Neurospora crassa OR74A: one gene and its partner. The protein of the gene in region 1 interacts with the protein of each later gene in a pairwise test. Links are inferred from orthologs where the notes say so. Each region holds a gene or a part of one and is shown in the gene's direction. Other genes may lie near its edges. The genes, in order: NCU07839 and NCU03092.

Region 1 (4,590 bases):
ACAGACTTAAGGTGCTCTTCACGCTCCAGTATTAATAGTGACTTTTCGCTGCCTTTATCAAATGCACAAACCTCAACTTGAACATGATATCGAGCACGTCTGACAGCGATGTGCAAGCCCAAGAGACTGGAGCCGGAGCCGGACTGAGACTCGGCAATGTTGTCACTCCGGATGCAGTTTCCAATGCCGGCAATGCAACCGATCGGGCGCCACCACCGCTCTCACCAGGAGACTATACAGTGTACAACCGACTAGACGAGCGAATGGACTACTTTGTCTGTGCTCATCCTTTCCTGCACTCTATTCCTCGATATCAGATTGAAGTACAATCACTGTCGCTCGGTGTGGAATACGCTCGACACAGCTTGTACCTGTGACAACGGTAGTCAAGGCACAGCAGCACTGACTGAGCGACAACCCATAGAATGCGGGCTCCGTCACTCGCTACCTAAAAGCTCACCAATCCATCAAAGACTTGCATGGTTTCCTTATAGCAAAGCAAATGCCTCAATTGAGAGCTGCCATCAAGGCCCATAATCGTCAACGTCGTCATCATTATCAGCAGCAGCATCAGCATCGTAAGCGAAACGGAAGAAGAGTATCAGGGGGGGCCAAAGGAGGACATGGAAGAAGCAGCGAACCATGATTTAATCCAGCAACACCGTACCATTCACTTGGGCATGGAGCAGTTCGAAAAGGACCTGAAGAATTGCAGGAGCAAAGAGAAAGCGTTTAGTCTGCTGGTGCTGGAGCGTTTGGATCAGGAGGTGGAGGAGTTGGGGCGGAGAGGAGAAGATGAGTAAGTTTTGGGAGTTTGGAGGGGACGGAGAGATTGCTGTTGTCCGAAAGAAACCAAGAGGGCAAGTCAGGGAAGGGGCTTGAAGGTCGTGAGTAGTGTAGTGATCGAAAAATGTTTCAGGACATGGAAGTGGTGGTTTGTGTTGAGAGAATGTGGCTGATGGTGGTGGACTAGACCAGGCGGTGGTGATGGATTTATTGCCACTCTTTGTGTACGCAGTAGTGTACATCCTGGTCGGCTGCGGAACGGACTGGAAGTTGCTGCTCCCAAAGTCTTCAGATGAGGTGGGAGATGGATGGCAATATGAGGCCTAAGTACGGCTGTATACACGTGTAGAAACATGCTAGCATCGAGCATGGACATGTATGTGAACAGGCAACTCCTATAGAATGTGGTCAAGATTACAGATTCTCTTTTCCGTTCCCTGACAGCTGAGGTGAGCGACGACGGATGATTGCCCAACAACCGCGACGCGCAGCAAAGACTGCCAAGCATAATCCGCCAGTGAAGCAAGAACGAGAACCCTTCTGGCAAAGCGGAGTCGGTGAACCAGGTGACGCCAATTCCCGCAAAGGTGGACTTCTGCCTGATTGATAAGGCCACACATGCCTTATCGGCGCTTTATCTGTGCTTATCTGTGCTTGTCAACAGTGAAAGAATGCAGGCCCGCCAAGTGTTGCCAGTCGGGTCCAGTTTTTTTTTTCTCTGGTGCCAGACCGCCCCTACATGGAAGTCTGGGGGACAGGTACGGCAATGCCCGGTCCCCTCAAATCCGCCTTCGCTGTAACGACTGCAGTGAACTGAAGGGAAGGGAAGAAAAAAAAAATATTTTTCTGGGGCACTTGCACGCAAGGGACGCGTTGCGCCTTCCGCCTCCAACAAAAAGAAAGACTTTTTCTTCCCGCTTGGAGGCGAGTCGGGTCTGGCACAGGATCCGCATCTCACATCCACTAGCACTGCACAGCGGAACCCACCAATCCTCCATCGACATCTCCCTTTGGTCAGGTTCTTTTCCCATACTAACCTTACGTGACGGGTCCTTGTCCAGTGCCCCCAGAGTTTTTTTCGTTTCGACTTCCGTCCAGAAAAACTTGCACTTCACCCTTCGCAGCAGCCCTTTTCTTCCTTCCTTCCACCCACCCTCCATCTCCAATATCCCTTCCCGCCTACTTCTTGCGATTCTGCAAGATTCTTCATCCGCGATCCTTCTTTAACCAGTCGGACTGCTTACTTGTAACCACTTCACGCGTGTCGTTTGGTTCTTGTCTCTAGACGTCTGTCTTTTCCGACGTCTTCTTTTCCCGACAATCGATACCCTTGCGCCTCTAGGCCTTGTTTGCTCGTCGTTTCGGTCTACCCTTCAGCAACCCCAATAACAACCGATCTTCAATTTTCAACCTTTTCTTAAACAACCAGCAAACATGTCCGGATCTTACGGCGGCGGCGGCTACGGTGGCCGCGGTGGCGGTGGTGGTGGATATTCTAACGGGTACGATCGCAATGGCGGCGGCTACTCTAACAACTACTCCTCACACGGGTATGATGTTTTAGCGCGAACCTGCTCATTTCCTCTCTCTCTCTCTCTCTCTCTCTCTCTCTCTCTCTCTCTCTCTCTCTCTCTCTCTCTCTCTCTCTTTGCATTTCAAGATCAAATTGCTAACATCTGGTTCAACAGTGGCTCGAATGGCTACGGAGGCGGCGGCGGAGGATATGGCGGCGGTGGTGGTGGCTACGGAGGCGGCGGCTACGGTGGTGGTGGCGGCGGTGATAGGATGTCTGCTCTCGGTGCTGGTCTGCAGAAGCAGAACTGGGACATGAGCGCTCTTCCCAAGTTCGAGAAGTCCTTCTACCAAGAGCATCCTAGCGTCGCCAACCGATCTCCTGCTGAGGTCGACAAGTTCCGCGCAGACCACTCCATTGCCGTCTTCGGTAACAACGTTCCCAAGCCTGTCGAGACCTTCGACGAGGCTGGTTTCCCTCGCTACGTTATGGACGAGGTCAAGGCTCAGGGTTTCCCTGCTCCTACTGCCATTCAGTCGCAGGGCTGGCCCATGGCCCTTTCTGGTCGCGATGTCGTCGGTATTGCCGAGACCGGTTCCGGAAAGACGCTCACCTACTGCCTTCCCGCCATCGTTCACATCAACGCTCAGCCTCTCCTCGCTCCCGGCGATGGCCCTATCGTCCTCATCCTCGCCCCTACCCGTGAGTTGGCTGTCCAGATTCAGCAAGAAATCTCCAAGTTCGGCAAGTCGTCCCGCATTCGCAACACCTGCGTCTACGGTGGTGTCCCCAAGGGTCCCCAGATTCGCGATCTTTCCAGGGGAGTCGAGGTCTGTATCGCCACCCCCGGCCGTTTGATCGATATGCTCGAGTCTGGCAAGACCAACCTCCGTCGTGTCACCTACCTTGTCCTCGATGAGGCTGATCGCATGTTGGACATGGGTTTCGAGCCCCAAATTCGCAAGATCATCGGCCAGATTCGCCCTGATCGTCAGACTCTCATGTGGTCTGCTACCTGGCCCAAGGAGGTCCGCAACTTGGCCGCCGACTTCTTGACCGACTTCATCCAGGTCAACATCGGTTCCATGGATTTGGCTGCCAACCACCGTATCACCCAGATCGTCGAGGTTGTTTCCGAGTCCGAGAAGCGTGATCGCATGATCAAGCATCTTGAGAAGATTATGGAGGGCCGCGAGAACCAGAACAAGATCCTCATCTTCACCGGCACCAAGCGTGTCGCCGACGACATCACCCGCTTCCTCCGCCAGGACGGCTGGCCCGCTCTTTCCATCCACGGCGACAAGCAACAGAACGAGCGTGACTGGGTTTTGGACCAGTTCAAGACTGGCAAGAGCCCTATCATGGTTGCCACCGACGTGGCTTCTCGTGGTATCGGTATGTATCCATCTTACCCCTCCGCCCTGCCCAAACCCCTCCCCCCTTCTTCTCTCCCCCATCTCAGGCGACTTCCAGCATACGTACGTGCTTGTGCTTTACTCTTATGTCTAGGGGCTCTCTTGATTGCGCGAACTTGCCTGACCTCGTGTCGACTTGGTCTATCTGAGTGGAGTCTTGGGTTCGTGACGTAGCAGAAACAGTGGACTATGCTACGCCCGCGTGATTCTTCAATTGTACCTTTTTATCCCAGTTGTGGTACAAGCGAGGAGTAGGCATTTCTTGATTCCCGTCAAGCTTGTCTCCAAGATTCCCAAGGGGATTTGCATGCATGGCCCAAGGATCTCTGGAACCTTGGATCCCAACCCGGCATATTTTTCGCAATGGACAGCCCACCTGCCAAGGAGAGAAGTACTACCAGAGGATCACAGAACATACCTAGATATTCGTGTTCTCCGTCCGTTCTGGAATGTCGTTATTCCAAACCCTGCTATTGCTAACCACGGTCCTTTAAAAAAAGATGTGCGCAACATTACTCACGTGCTCAACTATGACTACCCCAACAACTCCGAGGATTACATCCATCGTATCGGCCGAACTGGTCGTGCCGGTGCGAAGGGTACTGCCATTACTTTCTTCACCACTGACAGTAAGTGTCACCTGAATCTGCCCATCCTTAGCCGAACGAAATTCTAATGTTATCTCTCCACAGACTCCAAGCAGGCTCGTGAGCTCGTCGGTGTGCTTCAAGAAGCTAAGCAGCAGATTGACCCTAGACTTGCCGAGATGGCTCGCTACAGTGGTGGTGGAGGTGGCCGCTTCGGTGGCTATCGCGGCCGTGGCGGCGGTGGATGGCGCGGTGGTAAGTCATTTTCACGCAGGTGAATTTGGCAGTT
Region 2 (4,294 bases), on another chromosome or scaffold:
AACTCGCTTAAATCAGCTTCACAGGTGCGAATGTAAAAAGACACGCCGGCCGGAAGTGGCTTTCGGCCTGGGGAGACGGACACGGGATGCGCGCGACGAATTGGAGGGGTGGGACGGGAGCTAAAAATTTCTACGGCGGGTGAAAAGCACCACTGGAGCAGTTTTGATATTGGACAGGAACCGTTGCAGCTGTTACTAGGGCAGTGACAACTAAAGCACTTTATGTATTCTATAGTCCAAATCTGCGAACTGTACAGACAACATACGTGCAGAAGAATAAATGAAAAAAATAAAAAAAATGGGAGGCCGAATTGAGTCCTGTTATTCCTCTAGTCCCCCGTGTGTCTGTTGTTGCCGAGTTCTGTTAATATTTACATGCCTGCTCGTAAGTCTCATTAAAGGGCCCGAGCACTCCTCTGGGGGTTGCTGAAGCCGAACGTCTGAAAGGGTGGTCCGCGATGTTATGGAGCCCCTTCCCGGTTCGACCATGACTGACTCGCTCTCCGGTTCTCGAGCGCACTGCCCTGCCAAAACTCTCGCTGCCCAGATCATTTCAGCCCCAAATCAGCTCGCTCCAGCTTGTACCCTCCGGTCTGCTCCCAGAATGATGGAGGAGAACTCATTGCTTTGGCTGGTTCGCGAAATGGTTCTGCTGCTCGAAAAGATAACCCTGGACACGGTTTTCGGAGAGTAGTTGGAGGTAGCGTTCTGTGTCAGAAACAAGTCAGCAAGAGAAGGGGAAAAAGCACCATCGCATGGCTGATTGCATGCAATTGCTGAATGGTTCTGCCGCCAAAGAACCACGGGAGATGGGAAGCACTCCTGTACCCACCTCTCAGATGTCCGCACTTCTCCAGATGGTTCACGCCCTCCCTATAATAGCACTTGGACAACTCCTCCCGCACCAGGCGACCCATCATAACTCGGACCCATTGCTCGCGGATAATGGCATCCTGGGCCTGCTTCAGGCGCTTCGTATCATTGTAGTCGACGCCGTCAAAGGTGGGCGGGACGGTGGGCTTCTTGGCCAGGAAGGCCGCCGATTCGGGAGTAGGCATTGCTGCTAGATGTGGGCGACTCGCGAGAGAAGACCGAAAGCACAAGTTGTCGTCAAACAAAGCTGTAGAGAGGGAGAGAGACGCAGCTTATCGTCCCGCACTTTCGTCTCGTCGATGATGCCGTTGCAACCAACACGGCGCATCTCTAAGCTCCAAGTGGTGCCCCGGTCGTATGGTGGCTCGAGCTTTACAGCACACCTGGGAAACCAGGCAGGCAGGGACGCGCTAGCCCAAATGCTGTTCGTCTTTCGGACCATGCAGTAAAGTTGCAATTGACGGGGGGTCGTGGGCCGTGGCAGGCATGGGAAGGAACTTTCAGGTGGAACGAACTTCCCCACCGCGGCTCGTGCGCGGGCCACCGCCTTCGCGTGTGTACATAACCTCCACCCGGATCCTCCACTGCCCCAGGTCCCCTGCCCCACTAGAAAGTCCCATATCAAAGTGTGATAACGATTTTTTTTTCTGCCGTAGGTTGATCAGCCAGAGATTTTACGGTACCCGCCACCCTCTGCTCCCCATTTAAACAGCAGTCTTCCCGACGAAATTTCTTTTCTTCAGACGCATCCTTTATCCCATTCATCATCTTCATCCTTCTTTTTTCTTCAATACCCTTTAGCGGATTCCATCACTTCATCACATCACTTTACAACAACCGCTATCATGGGCAAGAAGGATTCCGTCAAGGCCACCAAGGCCACCAAGGTCGCCAAGGCCGAGCCCGTCAAGGCTGCTAAGCCCGTCAAGGCCACCAAGGCTGAGAAGCCCTCCAAGAAGTCCAAGAAGGAGGAGTCCTCTTCCGAGGAGGAGGAGTCCGAGTCTGAGTCTTCTGAGGAGGAGTCCAGCGAGGATGAGTCCAGCGATGAGTCTTCCGATGAGGAGATGACCGACGCTCCTGCCGCCAAGGAGACCAAGAAGGCCGAGTCTTCCGACTCTGACTCCGATTCTGACTCTGACGACTCCGAGTCTGAGGAGACTTCCGAGGAGGAGAAGCCCGCCGTCAAGGAGGAGAAGAAGGAGAGCGTGAGTACAACATAACTTCCTCTTCATAGTATACATCTGCTAACCCACGTCTGCTTATAGTCCGATGATGAGGAGAGCGACTCCGACAACTCCGATTCCGACTCTGACTCTGACTCTTCCGAGTCCGAGGAGAAGTCTGAGTCCGAGGAGCCTTCCAAGAAGCGCAAGGCTGAGGAGTCCTCCGAGGAGGAGGAGGCTCCCAAGAAGGCCAAGACTGAGGAGGTTGCCGACGACAAGAGCACCCTCTGGGTTGGTAACCTCGGCTGGGGTATCGATGATGCTATCCTCTTGGCTGAGTTCGAGGACTGCGAGGGTGCTAAGAGCGCTCGCGTCGTCACTGACCGTGAGTCTGGCCGCTCGCGCGGTTTCGGCTACGTCGACTTTGCCACCAACGAGCAGGCGCAGAAGGCTTATGATGCCAAGAGCGGTGCTCTTCTTGAGGGCCGTGAGATGCGTCTCGACTTCGCTGCCAAGGATGCCGGCAACAAGCCCCAAGACAAGGCCGCCAACCGCGCTGCCAAGCACGGTGACACCATCTCTCCCGAGTCCGACACCCTCTTCGTCGGTAACATGCCCTTCTCCGCCGACGAGTCTGTCGTCTCCGACTTCTTCAACTCCGTCGCTTCCGTTGCCAGCCTCCGTATCCCTACTGACCAGTGAGTATCCCACTATACCTTTGTGTGCATCTTTGCCGAGCAGAGTTTTAACAGTCTTCTAGGGAGTCCGGCCGCCCCAAGGGCTTCGCCTATGTTACCTTCAACTCCGTTGAGGATGCCAAGAACGCTTTCGAGCAACTGAACGGCTCCGACCTCAATGGCCGTCCCGTCCGTCTCGACTACGCCAAGCCCCGTGACAACAACGGTGGCGGTGGTGGCTTCGGCGGCGGCCGCGGTGGTGGCCGTGGCGGTGGCCGTGGTGGTTTCGGTGGCCGTGGTGGTGGCCGTGGTGGCCGTGGTGACTTCGGTGGCCGTGGCGGTGGCCGCGGTGGCGGACGGGGTGGTTTCGGTGGCAGCCGTGGTGGCTTCCAGGGCAAGAAGACCACCTTCTAAAGTGGTCAAGTGGGATTCCCGCACACATTGGGGAATGTGATACCATAACCTGAGGGCATTGAAACACAGATTCGCACTGGAGGGCTTAGTGGGTTGTCGGCTTTTGAAATCTTACAGTGTCTCCTTCGTGGGAGATCGTGGGCTTTTTGAGAGATAACTGCTTCCCTGCTGCGTGGCAGGGAAAGCAAGCGATACCTGAGGGCTTGAAGATGGTGGTGAGCTGGTAGCTCTTTGACAGCTCGTTCGTACATGGCACGTCTGTTCTTTCTCAACAGGAAAGTTAGGACCTCTGCCGGTGGGCTTGTTGGCTGGTTCCATGACCCTTGCGCGGTCGTCTGCACTTTGGATTCGATGCATACCAGAAGAATGATGGGTTCCAAGTACTCTGTGGGCTCGTGGGCTCTTGTGGGCTTTAGCTGACAAAACGGAAGAACGGAAAAGCGAGGACCTGTACTTGCACATGCCACAAACATGTGTTCACACAGCCTTATCCAGTCTGTGCTTCGAGGGTGGTTCATCGTTTCCTGTTCTTTTCCGCATACTATTGTCATTGCTTCTTCCTGTGGGGTTACTAAAGAGGGCATCTAAAAGTTGGTTTGGGATTTTCCGGTACAATCACGGGGTCACCTGGGGGCACTTAAAATGGGTTTCGGGTCTTTTCTTTTTCTTTTTTTTTCATATCAGCATTTGCCCTTCACGATACATCATCGATGGCGTAACGGTACAGAACACGGGTGATCCTTCTTAACGAACATTACCCGGTAAGTAATCTGATACTCTTCCCCTGTTTCATATACCCAAGTCCCAACGGACTAGAAGTAGCAAGAAAGAAGTATTGTTCAGTAACTGTGTTGTTCCAATGATGTGACTTGCCGTTATGTATGTGATGTGGTATTTTGAGGCGTAGACTTGTGTGTATGTATGTCGATAGGATCTTCAAAAAACTGCTCGTTCACAAAAGTCTTGATCATTCGTCACGTGTTTCAACATGGTCACAGTTGACCGCGATAGCTCCCAAAGTGTCACGAAGCAAATCCCCAAAAAGTTGAATTCGATGAACTCGGTTCGTCTACAAGTCATCTCAACAGTCGATACACAAACAAGCCCAAACTAAAGCCAAAGTCACGCAACACCAACAAAAAAAGAACCTAGACCTGCGACCAAATC

The links.
Region 2: the proteins of NCU07839 (region 1) and NCU03092 interact in a protein complementation assay, tested with the Saccharomyces cerevisiae proteins (2 studies listed by BioGRID). The link is inferred for Neurospora crassa OR74A from reciprocal best matches to the Saccharomyces cerevisiae genes DBP2 and NSR1.

Annotation. Positions count from the first base shown.
Region 1 is NC_026503.1:1,035,953-1,040,542, forward strand, and holds the start of NCU07839 (ATP-dependent RNA helicase dbp-2), read left to right. Parts: upstream 1-1,516; 5' UTR 1,517-2,220; coding exon 2,221-2,336; intron 2,337-2,474; coding exon 2,475-3,694; intron 3,695-4,214; coding exon 4,215-4,343; intron 4,344-4,406; coding exon 4,407-4,556; intron 4,557-4,590. Other genes in the region: NCU07838 (hypothetical protein), read left to right, coding at 624-799, 1,136-1,187. UniProt on the Saccharomyces cerevisiae protein: ATP-dependent RNA helicase involved nonsense-mediated mRNA decay and ribosome biogenesis through rRNA processing. Associates directly with chromatin, correlating with transcriptional activity.
Region 2 is NC_026501.1:4,518,150-4,522,443, reverse strand, and holds NCU03092 (nuclear localization sequence binding protein), read left to right. Parts: upstream 1-1,482; 5' UTR 1,483-1,718; coding exon 1,719-2,078; intron 2,079-2,138; coding exon 2,139-2,734; intron 2,735-2,796; coding exon 2,797-3,127; 3' UTR 3,128-3,973; downstream 3,974-4,294. Other genes in the region: nuo12.3 (NADH:ubiquinone oxidoreductase 12.3kD subunit), read right to left, coding at 620-708, 833-1,058. UniProt on the Saccharomyces cerevisiae protein: Involved in pre-rRNA processing. Specifically binds nuclear localization sequences. Candidate for a receptor at the nucleus that may be involved in both RNA and protein transport. Binds telomeric sequences of the type (TG[1-3])n in vitro.